2 linked regions of the Stegostoma tigrinum genome follow. The protein of the gene in region 2 interacts with the protein of the main gene of each other region in a pairwise test. Links are inferred from orthologs where the notes say so. Each region holds a gene or a part of one and is shown on either strand. Other genes may lie near its edges.

What was found. The genes of interacting proteins can lie anywhere in the genome.
Region 1: the proteins of ppl (region 2) and rab3ip interact in binary tests that used the Homo sapiens proteins (3 or more experiments, as listed by UniProt). The two-hybrid records come from large-scale screens. The link is inferred for Stegostoma tigrinum from reciprocal best matches to the Homo sapiens genes PPL and RAB3IP.

What each region holds. Positions count from the first base shown.
Region 1 is NC_081371.1:45,501,372-45,508,751, forward strand, and holds the start of rab3ip (rab-3A-interacting protein), read right to left. Parts: upstream 3,007-7,380; 5' UTR 2,776-3,006; exon of another isoform or gene 2,605-2,775; intron 2,346-2,604; exon of another isoform or gene 2,228-2,345; intron 1-2,227. UniProt on the Homo sapiens protein: Guanine nucleotide exchange factor (GEF) which may activate RAB8A and RAB8B. Promotes the exchange of GDP to GTP, converting inactive GDP-bound Rab proteins into their active GTP-bound form.
Region 2 is NC_081376.1:46,890,679-46,897,771, reverse strand, and holds the start of ppl (periplakin), read right to left. Parts: upstream 3,026-7,093; 5' UTR 2,800-3,025; coding exon 2,756-2,799; intron 1-2,755. UniProt on the Homo sapiens protein: Component of the cornified envelope of keratinocytes. May link the cornified envelope to desmosomes and intermediate filaments. May act as a localization signal in PKB/AKT-mediated signaling.

The sequences.
Region 1 (7,380 bases), on a different chromosome or scaffold from region 2:
TCAAGGATATCAGTTTTAAAAGGAATGCTTTAAAGATGAAGGGACAGAAGAACGGAGTGCACAGGGACTATATACCAGAGCATTGGACTAAGGAAGTCAATAGTACAGCAATCAAAGATGTCAAAAAGACAAAACTAGAGTAATTCAGAGACATGACAGTAAAGGAAAGGAACAAAGGAAGAGGAGAGACAAATAGAAAACTCTGAAAACAGACAAGAATGTTGAAATTGAAATACAAGACCAGGTGCAAAATTTCAGGCAAGCTTATGTTTTAGACATAAAAAGTTAAAGATGGGAGATTAATCAGGAGAACACTGTCATAGTTAAGTCTAACGGTAAAACAAGCCCGCTGATAATACACTGATACCAAAGGGTTGAGTCCATGGCTTGGTCTCTCTCTCTCTCTCTCTCTGTTGTAGTAATCAAGTTACTAACCAAAAAGTAGTTAGTAGAATAAGATACACTGCCAATATAATTCAAAAGACAATCGATTAAAATCATCCAAAAGGGAGAAGTTGTATTTTTCCTCAAAGTTATAGCTGCCCCTTTTCAGACATGTTTGTAAAACAGTGACAGACTTGGTAATATTTTAAACATGTCTCACACCAGCTGTTCCAACATAGGATGAAGACAATTTTGAACAATGACATTATAAAAATATTTTTGAACAACTACAAAGAAGAACAATATTTAAATTTCCATGTCAGTAATATATATCTTACAGCTTGAAAGGTAGTAGCTTTGTACATTTCCCAGTAGGAAGGCAATGGAACATTTACCTTTATTACTAAGAACGGAGACTGCAGTGTAAACATAAGGAAATCTTACTATAACTGTACATTAGCAAGACTCTTGGATTATCCTGTACAGTTTTGGTCTTAGTTTTGTACTTGCATTGAAGTCAGCTCAGAAAAATTTACTATGCTGCTTCATGGCACAATGGAGTTGCGGAGAGAAAATATTTAGCGAGATATACCAATTGGTATTAAGAGTAAGAGTATACCCAACTAAAACATTTTTGCGCTTTATGGGGCAGATCCTGAAAATGTTTTCTAGAACCAGGCAGCACAATTTTAATGCTATGGTTTGAATTGAATGGAACGCAAGATCACAGTTGATCGAATCAGGGCTTCAACTCCAATTTTCTGCCTGCCCCCAGAATTTTACAGTCTCCTAACAAGTCAAACGTTCATCTAACTCAGCATTGAAAAGATGAAAACCCTGTTTTAAGAATCTTTCCCCCCCCCCCCAAGACAGCAAAACGACCCGCAGATTAAATGACTCCTCTACTCAGTTTTAAATGTAAAACAGCTGACTTTGAAATTGCGATAATCTCATCACTGCTATTGGCACCACTGGAATAAGCCAAAATACCATTTTCCAAACCTGCTAGATAATTTCTACACTAATCTGATACATAGTAGCATATATTATTTCCACAATTTTATGTATAGACATACCTATTGCATACAAAGACAAAAGGCTTTACAATATTCAGTGTTCACATACATCACTTAAGCTTTCTTTTCATTATCGTCAGATGAAAATCCGATTACATACTTATTCTAACACATCCATCACGAGTTAAAAAATGGCAATAAACAGGATTATTGTGATAAAGGATGATGACGATAGCATACAATACTGAGTAGCTTCAGGAAGCCTGATGGCTTGTCAGCAAAATAATGTTATAAAACTCGCCACCAGGGATTCCTCGGGGCATACAAGGACACGTAATGAACTACAACTGCACTGTATGGGAGCGAACGCAGGACTGCAATTTTCGATCTGATCATCCGAACAATTCGGCAACGAACATGTTGTAGATGAACCAGAAACCTAAAGTCCAACGTGTCTTGTCAGCTGCACAAAATAACTACATACTGTTCATGCTATACTCATTTCGCGCTAACATGAGAATGGTGACTGCCTATAAAATTACCGCAGTTGGTTAATGTTTTTACAGAGAAGTAAGCGGAATTCGCTTTAATTATAAAATATATACAATAAAGAAAACGATGTTTAAATCACTCAAGTAACTCAATGTATGATAAGATTCGGAAAACCCCAGAATTCTCTTTCGCGTTTAACTGCAAACCCGTTGCAGGATTAACTGCATTATCTTATCTCATCAGTGTCTAATATCATCAAATTGTGGGTGCAGAGAACAGCCCCGGAGAAGAAGTGTCTGGATTTTATACATTTAAAAACAAAACGATCGTTCAACCTGATGCACGATTATAGACGAGTCTCCATCCGCAGAGACATGCAGCAGTGCGGGTTTCACCGCTGTAACTAGGCCGGGAGGGCTCGGAGGTAAAGCCTTCCTTCTCCTTAAAGGGGTGAATCAACAAGGTCCAACTGCCGGCGGCCGGCAACTCGGTCCATTCACACAAAAAAAAATCAGAACCCGCCACTTCCCCTTTCATGAACTCAAGTGGAAAATAATGAAATGTCGAGCCGTTAAAACCGTTGGTCTTGCGGAGCGTCCTGGATGCAGGAGGAAGGAGAGAGAGTTGTATTTACAGGGTCCCGGCAGATACTGCCCAGGACTCCTCAGGTAGAAACATAAGGTTTCATTTAACGTCACAACTATTTTCTCACCTGACGCCTGCCAAACAATAAGCTTTCACCTCAAACCGACAAGAAAAAGTCCACTGTCGGTGACTCGATGGGTTTTTATTTTCCACCTTCCCTCCTCCTCCGTTCACCTCAGACGCCGTATCTTTCGACCCAACCCAGCTCAACTTTCCTCCACCTGTTTTCACCGTTTACCTCTCTGCTTGAACACTTGCACCAAGCCACCACGGCTGCGCAACAGCGACTGTTTCTTCTCGCTCATTTCACCATCCCCTCCGTCTGCCTGCTGCAGCTGCGCAATAGCAACTGTTTCTTCTTCATCCTATCCCCACCTTTCTCCACGGCTGCGCGGTCCGAGAGACTTTCCCTCACCCACACCTTTCCTGTACGACTGCGCGGTCCGAGAGACTTTCCCTCACCCACACCTTTCCTGTACGACTGCGCGGTACCGGCTTCTCTCTTCCAGCACACAGCCCCATAACCAACCCTCATTCCCCTCCGTATGCGTCTGCGCGCTACCGGCATCTTCCCTCCTCCCCAGCCTACCTAGCATGCGTGCGGCTGCGCGGTACCGGCGGTCTCCTCCGTTCCCCTGTCAGCTTGCGTGTGCGTCTGTTCGTGTTGTTGCTCGCTGAGCAGGGAAATGAGCAAAATGTTATGAGTGCTGAGTTAAAACCAAAACAAGTGCTAGGAACATTTTGTAGGTCAGGCAGAATATATCCGGCAACATCAATGGGGAGAGGAGAGAGCAAGAATAACGAAGGAAAGGGCATAGAAAAAGCAGAAATGCGAGACAAGGGAATCGAAGAGGAGGGAAAAAAAAGACATAATTCCGGGGTTTAAAAGTTTGGGATGGATAGTTGAATGGTGGGTTTGGAGCAAGGGTGACTGAACTCTAATTAATTGTTATTGAATATAGGGCGGGCCGGTGTGAACTCGCTACGTTGAATGGCTTGCTTCCGCATGTGAGAATTCTGTGTGAACGTAATGCCTGTTCAGTGCAACTGAGACCAAAGCATCTAATTGCTAGGTATTTTCAAATCAACCTGTTCAGAGGTGTTACGACACATAACATTTGGGAGTAGGAACACCGCTGCAGTGCTACAAGAGCTCAAATTTCTAATCTCTACAGAATATTGGTGTTGTGATTCAGCTGCCTTCTTTGTTAACTACGTGATTTGGTGGGCTAAATGATGCAAGTGAAATCAATATCTGAAAAAGTTAATTTTAGGCAATAGCACCTGATATCATGGGTGGAGAGGGATGCAATGTCTGAGCAGTTAAGTAGTGACTGGCTGGGCAAAGAATGTATGGTCACAGTTTAGTTTTGACTGGTTCAGTTTGCTTGCAAACTAATTATGTTTGGTTCGAGATGTCTTACATGCAGGCCACTGCAATTTAAAGGGACACTTTTTATTGTGTGATTGCTAAGTGCTCAGTAAAATGCTGTTGGCTTCGCTGGCTAGACCAGCATTTATTGCCAATCTCTAATTGTTCTTCAGCAGGTGGTGATGAGATGCTGTCTTAACCTGTTGTTGTCAAGAAGGCAGTTTTGAGATTTTGGTCCAAGATAATAAAATGTGAAGCTGGATGAACACAGCAGGCCAAGCAGCATCTCAGGAGCACAAAAGCTGACATTTTGGGCCTAGACCCTTCATCAGAGGATGTGCTCCTGAGATGCTGCTTGGCCTGCTGTGTTCATCCAGCTTCACACTTTATTATCTTGGATTCTGCAGTTCCCGTTATCACTTGAGATTTTGGTCCAATGATATTGAAGGAATAGCAACAATCCGACCCCACCACCCAAGACATTTTTCCATCTCCCCCCCGTCTGCTTTCCGGAGAGACCCCTCTCTCCGTGACTCCCTTGTTCGCTCCACACTGCCCTCCAACCCCACCACACCCGGCACCTTCCCCTGCAACCACAGGAAATGCTACACTTGCCCCCACACCTCCTCCCTCACCCCTATCCCAGGCCCCAAGATGACATTCCACATTAAGCAGAGGTTCACCTGCACATCTGCCAATGTGGTATACTGCATCCACTGTACCCAGTGTGGCTTCCTCGACATTGGGGAAACCAAGCGGAGGCTTGGAAACTGCTTTGCAGAACACCTCCCCTCAGTTCGCAACAAACAACTGCACCTCCCAGTCGCAAACCATTTCCACTCCCCCTCCCATTCTTTAGATGACATGTCCATCATGGGCCTCCTGCAGTGCCACAATGATGCCACCCGAAGGCTGCAGGAACAGCAACTCATATTCCGCCTGGGAACCCTGCGGCCTAATGGTATCAATGTGGACTTCACCAGTTTCAAAATCTCCCCTTCCCCCACTGCATCCCTAAACCAGCCCAGTTCGTCCCCTCCCCCCACTGCACCACACAACCAGCCCAGCTCTTCCCCTCCACCCACTGCATCCCAAAACCAGTCCAACCTGTCTCTGCCTCCCTAACCTGTTCTTCCCCTCACCCATCCCTTCCTCCCACCCCAAGCCGCACCCCCATCTACCTACTAACCTCATCCCACCTCCTTGACCTGTCCATCTTCCCTGGACTGACCTATCCCCTCCCTACCTCCCCACCTATACTCTCTCCACCTATCTTCTTTACTCTCCATCTTCGGTCCGCCTCCCCCTCTCTCCCTATTTATTCCAGAACCCTCACCCCATCCCCCTCTCTGATGAAGGGTCTAGGCCTGAAACGTCAGCTTTTGTGCTCCTGAGATGCTGCTCGACCTGCTGTGTTCATCCAGCCTCACCTTTTATTATCTTGGAATTCTCCAGCATCTGCAGTTCCCATTATCTCCTAGAATGATGAGTGGCTTGGCGAGTAACTTGCAGGTGGCCTGTTCCCACACATCATCTGCCATTGTCCTTCAGTGCAATAGAGCCAAAGTTTAGAAAGGCATTGATGAAGGAGTTTGAGTGAGTTGCTGCTGTACGTCTTGTCGATGGTACATGCTGTGCCGCTGTCACTATGCTTCAGTGTTGAAGAATGACGAATGAGATGACAATCAAGTGGCCTGTTTTGTCCTGGAGATGTTGAGCATCTTGACCACTTTGGGGAGACGAGATCAGTTATTCACTATAGAATTCCTCGGTCTCGTCCTGCTCTTGAAACCACAGTATTTATGTCCCTGCTTCTGAGCAATGCTAACAACCAGTTGATAGTGGGGATGTTTCAATGGTAATGCCATTGAATGTCAAGGGATCATGGTTACATTCTTTTTTAAAAGAGATTGTCAAGCAATGACAATGGTGTGCAGTAAATGTTACTGATAACAAAGTGTGAAGCTGGATGAACGCAGCAGGCCAAGCAGCATCTCAGGAGCACAAAAGCTGACATTTCGGGCCTAGACCCTTCATCAGAGAGGTAGGAGTAAATGTTACTTGCTGCTTAGCACTCCAAGCATGGATGTTGCCCAGGTCTAGCTGCATACGGACTTGCACTGCATGTGTGAGGAGTTGTGAATGGTGCAGAATATTTTGCTATCATCGATAAATATCCTCACTTTGACCATATGTTGGAGAGAAAGTCGTTGATGAAACATATAAAGAAAATTGGGCCTAGGATGCTCCCATGAGGAGCCTGCTCTGGGACGAAGATTGAACTCCAGAGACTACAACCATCTTCCTTTGTTGGTAGGTGCTGGTGTTGGACTAGGCTGGACAAAGTCAGATGTCACACAGCACCAGGTTATAGTCCAACAGGTTCATTTGAGATCACAAGCTTCCAGAGCACAGCACTTTCATCAGGTCAAGTGAGCAAGAAGAACACACAGACACAGAATTTACAGGTAGAGAGATCAAAAGTCCATGCAACTGGTGTGAGTGGAGTAAGGAATATTAGGTCGCTGCAGCTGTGAGTAAAGTATCAACAGCCGAATAACAAGTGAAGGACCTATAATCTGATTAAGTGAGGCAGAGAAATAATTACAAGAAACAAAAAAAAAGGTGATGCTGGAGACAGGCTAAATGAGTAATCAGATTATAGGTCATAGCTTCAATTGTTATTCAGTTGTTGACACTTTGCTCACATTGTGTAACACTCTTGGTCACCATGATGTGGAGGTGCTCGTGTTGGACTGGGTGGACAAAGTCAGAAGTCACATGACAGGTGATAATCCTGAAACCTGTTGGACTATTACCTGGTGTCATGTGACTTCTGACTTTATCTTCCTTTGTGCCAGGTATGACTCAACTATTGGAGAGGCTTTCCCCTGATTCCCATTCAGTTCAGCTTTGCTAGGGCTCCTTGATGCTATATTCTTGTCAAATGTTACCATGGTTCAAAGCCATTCATTGTCACCTCATCTCTGGCATTCAGTTGGGTTGTTCAAGTTATAGTCTTGGCCCAAATAAGGTCAAGATCTGAGTGGCCCTGAATGTATGAATTTTGCTGATCAAATACCACTTGACAACACTACCAATGACTCTTTCCACCAGTTTGATGATTTAGAGTAGATCACTGAGTAGAGTAGATGTTACTGTTGTAAGTCTTATGTACTGTTGCTGGAATGTGGACATGGCCCATAATCTTTTCAGTATCCAATGCCTTTAGCCATTTCTTGATATCATGTGAAATAACTTAAATTAGCTGAAAACTGGCATTTGTAATGCTGGAGATCATAATAGGTGGCTGAGATGAATCATTCACTCAGCACATTTGGCTCATGGTGGATGAAAATACTTCAGCTACATCTTTTACATTATTGTGCCGGGTCCCCAATTATTGAGAATGGGGCCATTGTGGAGCTTCTTCCTCCTGTTAGATGTTTAGTTTTCTATCACCATTCATGA
Region 2 (7,093 bases):
CGGCCAGTTGACGCGCCCTCCCCTGCTGAGATTGAAAGCAATTTTTAATGAAGAAAGCTGCAAGCAGATCACAGATTTTTTTTTTGAAAAGCTAACAAAATAATATTATTGATAGTTTTGGATTATGATGGGAGAGGTCCTCAAAAGGTATGTAAAACATTGAGCATACAATTGGGGGAGGTGATGGCCTAGTGGTATTGTTGCTGGACCGTTAATCCAGAGACCCAGATAATGTTCTGGGGACCTGGTTCGAACCTGCCACAGCAGATAGTGGAATTTGAATTCGATAAATATCCAGAATTAAGACTCTAATGATGATCGCGAATCCACTGCCGATTGTTGGGAAAAACCCATCTGGTTCAATGATGTCCTTTAGGGAAGGAAATCTGCCATCCTTACCTGGTCTGGCCTACATGTGACTCCAGACCCACAGCAATGTGGTTGACTCTTAACTGCCCTCTGGGCAATTAGGGACGGGCAATAAATGCTGCCTGGCCAGTGACACCCTCATCCCGTGAATGATTAAAGGAATTACCTATAACTAAAATCCGTCTTTTAAAAGCAGACAGCATCAACTATCTTTTCAAAATCCAAAAAGATAGTATCCACCATCTCACTTTCAATCAACAAACCATAAAGAAATAGCAACAGAGGTAGACCATTCAGCCCCTTGAACCTGCTTTGCCATTCAATAGGATCATGGCTGATTTGACATACATCACGCCCATTTTCCTGCCCTTCCCCACAATCCTTGATTCCCCTACTGATCAAGAATCCATCTAACAATCCATCACAGCTTAAGTATTCTCAAGGACTCTGCACAAGCCACAAACTACTTATTGTGTTTCAATGCTGGCTGGCTTTCTTTTGCACTCCTTTGAAAAACATCAACATCAGCAGCTCACAATACAGCTCTGAGTAGCATCCCAAGGCAATTAAATTTAAACATTAATACCATTTGTCAACATATTCAGCTTTTAGTGTTATTCCCTCTTAAAATCAACCTTGGAATTTATCCAGTGCTGTTTTCCCCCAAAAATTAACCACTTCATACAATTTGCAAACAAAAACATTTTGCTCGATATTACAGAATTTGCTATTCAACGTGTCCCAATACAGAACTTTGCACGGCAGACAGTGATAATAATATTGTTGGACAAAAAGGCACATTTCGTCAAAGCTGCTCATCAGGCGTGTATTGTGTCAGAGTTGGTTATCTCAGTTGGCTGCTCATGATTCAGAGTGATGCCAACATTGTGGGTTCAATTCCTAGCACCAGCTGAGTGGCCTTCTCAACTCCTCCCCTCACCTGAGGTGTGGTGACCCTCAGGTTAAATCACCACCTAATCCCTCTCCCTAATGGAAGGTAGGACTATGGCAACTTTATCTTACATTTCTTGTCTATTCTGCTGATGAGTGCGAGACAAAAAAACTTTGACAAACGTGTCTTATTTACCAGCCATACTCAAATACTATAGAACCAAACGGCTGATTGTAATGGTTGGAAATATTTATAATGTTTCCCATGTCATCTGTGCATCCAGAGAACAAATGAGTTGCTTTAACCCCATGCCTAGGAGATAAACTCTTCCACACTTGAGATAATTTAATCCATAAGTGGGACAGTGACACCATTATTCTGTCAAAATGTGCGTTATCATTCAGAAGAAGTTTCTGGTGACAAGTAGACTAATTTTCCTGCTGGGAGTGATAAAAGCTCCCACTGTCAAAAGATGTGCAGGTTAGGATGGACTGGCCATGCTAAATTGCCCATCGTGTCCAGGGATACGCAGGCTAGATGGACTAGCCTTGGGAAATGCAGAGTCACAGGGATAAGGCAGAGGGGTGGGTTTGGGCGGAATGCTATTTGAAGAGTCGGCTTGGGCTCATCTGCTTCCGTACTGTAGGGATTTTAAAATTGCTGCATGTTAGGAAGGTAATTCAACACATCAGCTTTACCCTGGAGGAAATATTTTTAAATTTTGTGATTATGCTTGAAGTTCATCCATCAGACCATGTATAGAAGCTGGTTTTGTTATGCAAAACGTCAGAAGTCACAGAGATATTAGGAGTTGCTGGACCTGATTACTGAATTAGCCTGACGGTCAGAGGTTTAAATGCTTTGGCATTTGCTAGGCTTCATTCTATTATCAAAAACCTTTAACACTTTTACTGAGGATTATTAAATTGCATTGCGCAGAGGATTAAACTCCACCCATCTCAATAAGTCACTGGGATTCCACAATACAGATGAAAACAGGTCAGAAAATTGTGTAATAAACTAAAATAGAAGTTCAAAATAAGCAATGTGTGATCAGTCCGTGTGAGCAATATTTCATCTACAGTATACTGACTGGGCTGCAGATTGATAGTCTAAAGTATTCATGTCAAACAAATACATTGCAAAGTCCTTTTAACAGTTCATATTGGAGATTAAAACAATGTGGACAGATGTTTAAATCTCAGCATCAGAACCTTTCACGTTGTTCATTCCTGCTTTAATCAGACTTCTTAGAGTTACCTCAGCTGACACACCCTCCCCTCCTGAACTTGAAAGCAGCTTTTAATTAAGAAAGCCACAAGCAGATCACAGATTGTTTTTTGAAAAAAAGAAGAAACTTATTGATTGTTTTTGGATTATATGGGAGAGGTCCTCAAAAGGCATGCAAAACATAGAACATATAGTTACCCATAAATAAAATGCGCTTTTCTTTTAAAAAAAGGCACAAGTATAAATATATACGACAACACTTACTTGGTTTTGGGGGGAGTTACATTCTTGGGTTTCTTTTTAAACATCTTGGCAGTCCCTGGTTTCACGAGGAAACGATAAAAATCCTTATCCCCCACAGACGCAGTTTTATTCTCTCTCTCTCTCTAACCCTCGCTCCCTTTCTCTGAAGAGTTGATAAAGAGAGAGCTCTGACTTCTTTGCTCCAGTAACACTACAGAGAGTGTGTCAAGTGTGTGTATGTGTGAGGGAGATACACACCGAGCTGCTGAGCTCACCTATAACCTCCTCCTCTGCCTCTCCCACACTATTTACCTGAGACTTCCAGCAGCTGATTGACAGGTGCAGCCACGCAACACCCGCCCACCGTATCGACACCGCCCCCTCTGCATTCCCATTGGCCGCCCTTCTATGGTTGCACGGCAACCCCGCCTTGATTGGCAGACAATGACCACGCCCCTCAGCCCTCCAGTTGCTTTTGGTGGCTGGCTTGGCACCTCCCAGCTCTTACCTGGCCCCCAGGTAAATTCTGAAGAAGATCATTGGGCTTGAAGTGTAACTTCTGATTTCTCTCCACAGATGCTGCCAGATCTGATGAGCTTTACCAGCACTTTCTGTTTTTGTTTCTGATTTCCATTATCCACATTACTTTTTCTTGGCATCTACTGTGAAGAGTGTATCTGGGACAATGGAGTATACTCCCTTTAAATATTGAACACAGTTCCTATCTGCTTAACTTTAAATGATGTTGTTAGGACTGGAGGGCTTCAGCTATAGGGAGAGGCTGAATAGGCTGGGGCATTCTTCCCTGGAACGTCGGAGGATGAGGGGTAAGCTTGTGGAGGTTTATTAAATCATGAGGGAATAGCCAAGGTCTTTAAATAATAAAGTGTAGAGCTGGATGAACACAGCAGGCCAAGCAGCATCTCAGGAGCACAAAAGCTGACGTTTCGGGCCTAAACTCTTCATCAGAGAGCTCTGATGAAGGGTCAAGGCCCAAAACGTCAGCTTTTGTGCTCCTGAGATGCTGCTTGGCCTGCTGTGTTCATCCAGCTTCACACTTTATTATCTTGGATTCTCCAGCATCCGCAGTTCCCATTATCTCTGAGCCGAGGTCTTTATCCGAGTGTGGGGGAGTCCAATGCCAGAGGGCATACGTTAAAAGTGACAGGGGAAGGATTTAAAAGGGACCTGAGAAGTACCTTTTTCACACAGAGGGTGGTGCATGTGTGGAGCGAGCTGCCAAAAGGTCGTGGTGGAGGTGGGTACATTTGTAATATTTAAAAGGCATCTAGATGGGTACATGAATAGGAAGGGGTTAGAGGGGCGCGGGCCAAATGCTGTCAAATGGAACTAGGTCAAGTTGATATGTCTGGTCAATGCGGGCGAATTAGACTAAAGAATCCATTTCCATGACTCTATAGCTTGAAAAGACTGGGTAGGTAAAAACAAGCTATTTCCACTCGCTGAAGATTCTAGAAATAAGGAATTAGTCTGAAAATTAGGGTCAGACCTTTTAGGAAAGATACTGGGAAGTACTTCTACAAGAAAGTGTCGCAAATATTTGGAACTCCCTTCCACAAATATTGGAGGCTGGATCAATTGTTAATTTTAAGCCTGAGATAGGTAAATTTTTTGTGAAGCAAAGGTATTTAAGGGATATATGCCAAAGGCAAGTAAATGGAGTTAGGCCACAGATCAGCCATGATCTATGTGAGTGGCCGAGGAGGGTCTAGGGGCTGAATGGCCGACTCCTGTTCCTATGTTTTTCTAAGTGAACTGGGCAGCAGGGTGGCTCAGTGGTTAGCACTGCAGCCTCACAGCGCCAGGGACCCAGGTTCGATTCCAGCCTCGGGTGACTGTCTGTGTGGAGTTTGCACATTCTCCCCATGTCTGCGTGGGTTTCCTCCGGGTGCTCCGGTTTCCTCCCACAGTCCAAAAGATGTGCAGGCTAGGTGGATCGGCCATGCTAAATTGCCCATAGTGTTCAGGGGTGTGTGGGTTATAGGGGGATGGGTCTGGGTGGGATGTTGCATGGGGCAGTGTTGGCTTGTTGGGCCGAAGGGCCTGTTTCCACGCCGTAGGGAATCTAATCTAAAAGAAGCAAGGGTGAGGCAAAGGAACATATTTTCAGTCAATGAGTAGTTGGTGGAGGACACCTGGAAATGTGGTGGAGGCAGGTTCAATTGTTACAGCTTTATAAAAATTTGGCTAAGCCTTGGTTAGAGTATTGTGTTCAATTCTGATTGCCACATTACAGGAAAGACGTGGGGGCTTTGGACAGGGTGCAGGAGAGGTTTACCAGGACGCTACTTGGATTAGAGGCTATGATCTAACAAGAGGCTAGAAAGAACTCAGGTAACTTTCTCTGCAGCAGCAGAGGCTGACGGGAGAACTGATAGAAGTTTATAAAATTACGAGATGGATAGATAAGGTTCACAGTTAGAATCTTTCTCGCAAAGTTGAAATGTCTAATGCAGGGGGGCAGGGTGAGAGGAGACAAGTTCAAAGGAGATGGGAGGGGCAAGTTTTTTTTACACAGAGAGTGGTAGGAGCCTGGAATGCTCTGCCAGGATTGGTAGAGGCAGATATGATAGGGATGTTTAAGGGATTTTTAGATAAACACATGAATATGCAAGAAATGGAGGGAAATGGACCAAGGGCAGGCAGAAGGGATTAATTTATTTTAGGTGACACATTCGGCACAAATTTATGGGACAAAGGGCTGGTTCCTGTGTTGTAATGTTCTATCTTCTAATTGAGGCATTCAAGGGGGCATTGAATAATTATTTGTACAATATTAACATGCAAGAGTACAGGGGAAAAAGCAGGAAATTGGCATGAGGTAATGATGTTCATTTAATGAGCTTGCGTAGGCACAATGGGCTGAATGGTTTCCTTCCAGACCGTAACACTTCTGACTCTGTGAAAGGGGTCTCCCATTTAAGACCATAATGAGAAAGGAAATTTTCTCTCCAAGGTTCATTAATCTCTGGAATTCTCTACTCCCGAGAGCCATAGACTATTAAATGTACATCTATGTTAGATAGATTTTTTTGATCTACAACGAGCCAAGGTAATGGAGAGCACATAGGAAGTGAAGTTAAGGCCTCAGCTATGTCCACCATGATTTTATTGAACAGCAGAGCAGGATGGAGGGTTAAAATGGACAACCCTTAGCCCTATTTTGTACCTTTTATGTCGTAGATGTCCTAACAGCCTGTAATATATGACTGCTTTCAATAAACTGAAGTCTAGGACAAAGCAGCCCACTGGATTGGCACCACATCCACAAGCACCCATTCCCTCCACCACCGACACTCAGTAGCAGCAGTGTGTACTATATCCAAGATGCACTGCAGAAACTCACCAAAGATCCTCAGATAGCACCTTCCAAACCCACGACCACTTCCATCTAGAAGGACAAGGGCATCAGATACATGAGAACACCACCACCTCCAAGTTTCCCTCCAAGCCACTCACCATCCTGATTTGGAAATATATCACCGTTCCTTCACTGATGCTGTGCCAAAATCCTGGAATTCTGTCCCTAATGGCATTTTGGGTCAACCTACAGAGAAGGACTACAGCGATTCAAGAAGGCAGATCACCACCACCTTCTCAAGGGGCAACTAGGGATGGGGAAGAAATGCTGACCCAGCTGGTGATGCCCACATTCCAGAAAAGAATAGAAAAAAAATTCCTACACAACGCCTTAGTAATCAAAACTTCTCAAAACCCTTCACTCAATCATCCCAAGCAGTAGTTCCTTCAGTTATGTAGACAAAACTTGAAGCCATTCTGAAAGCAAAGTCTAACAATGCAACATTCCCTCCATTGACAAACACCTGGCACTACCACCCCCCTGACATGGCTCACCTCAATCCCTACTTCAGCCCAACTGCTACTGAAACTTTTCCACATTTTCTTCAGATCTCCAGGCAGAGGTATTCCGATTCTCTCTCTGTCACCTCGTCAGCTTCCATCCTCCATGAATTGGTTCCCTTCCTGACAGGGAGGAGCTGTTCCCATTGGTGGAGGATCGAGAACCAAAAGACTGCTCCTGGCCTACATCACTCCAAACCTTTCCTATTCATGTACTTATCCAAATGTCTTTCAAACTTTGTAATTGTACCCACATTCACCACTTCCTCAGGAACTGCATTCCATGTGCAAACCGTAGTCTGTGTAAAAAAAATTGCACCTCATTTCTTTCTCAAATCTCTCTCCTCTTACCTTAAAAATGTGCCCCTCGTCTTGAAGTTCCCCCATCCTAGGAAAAAGACAGCTACCATCAACTGTATCCATACCCTTGTTATTTTATAAGGCCTCCTCTCAACCTCCCACACTCCAGCGACAAAA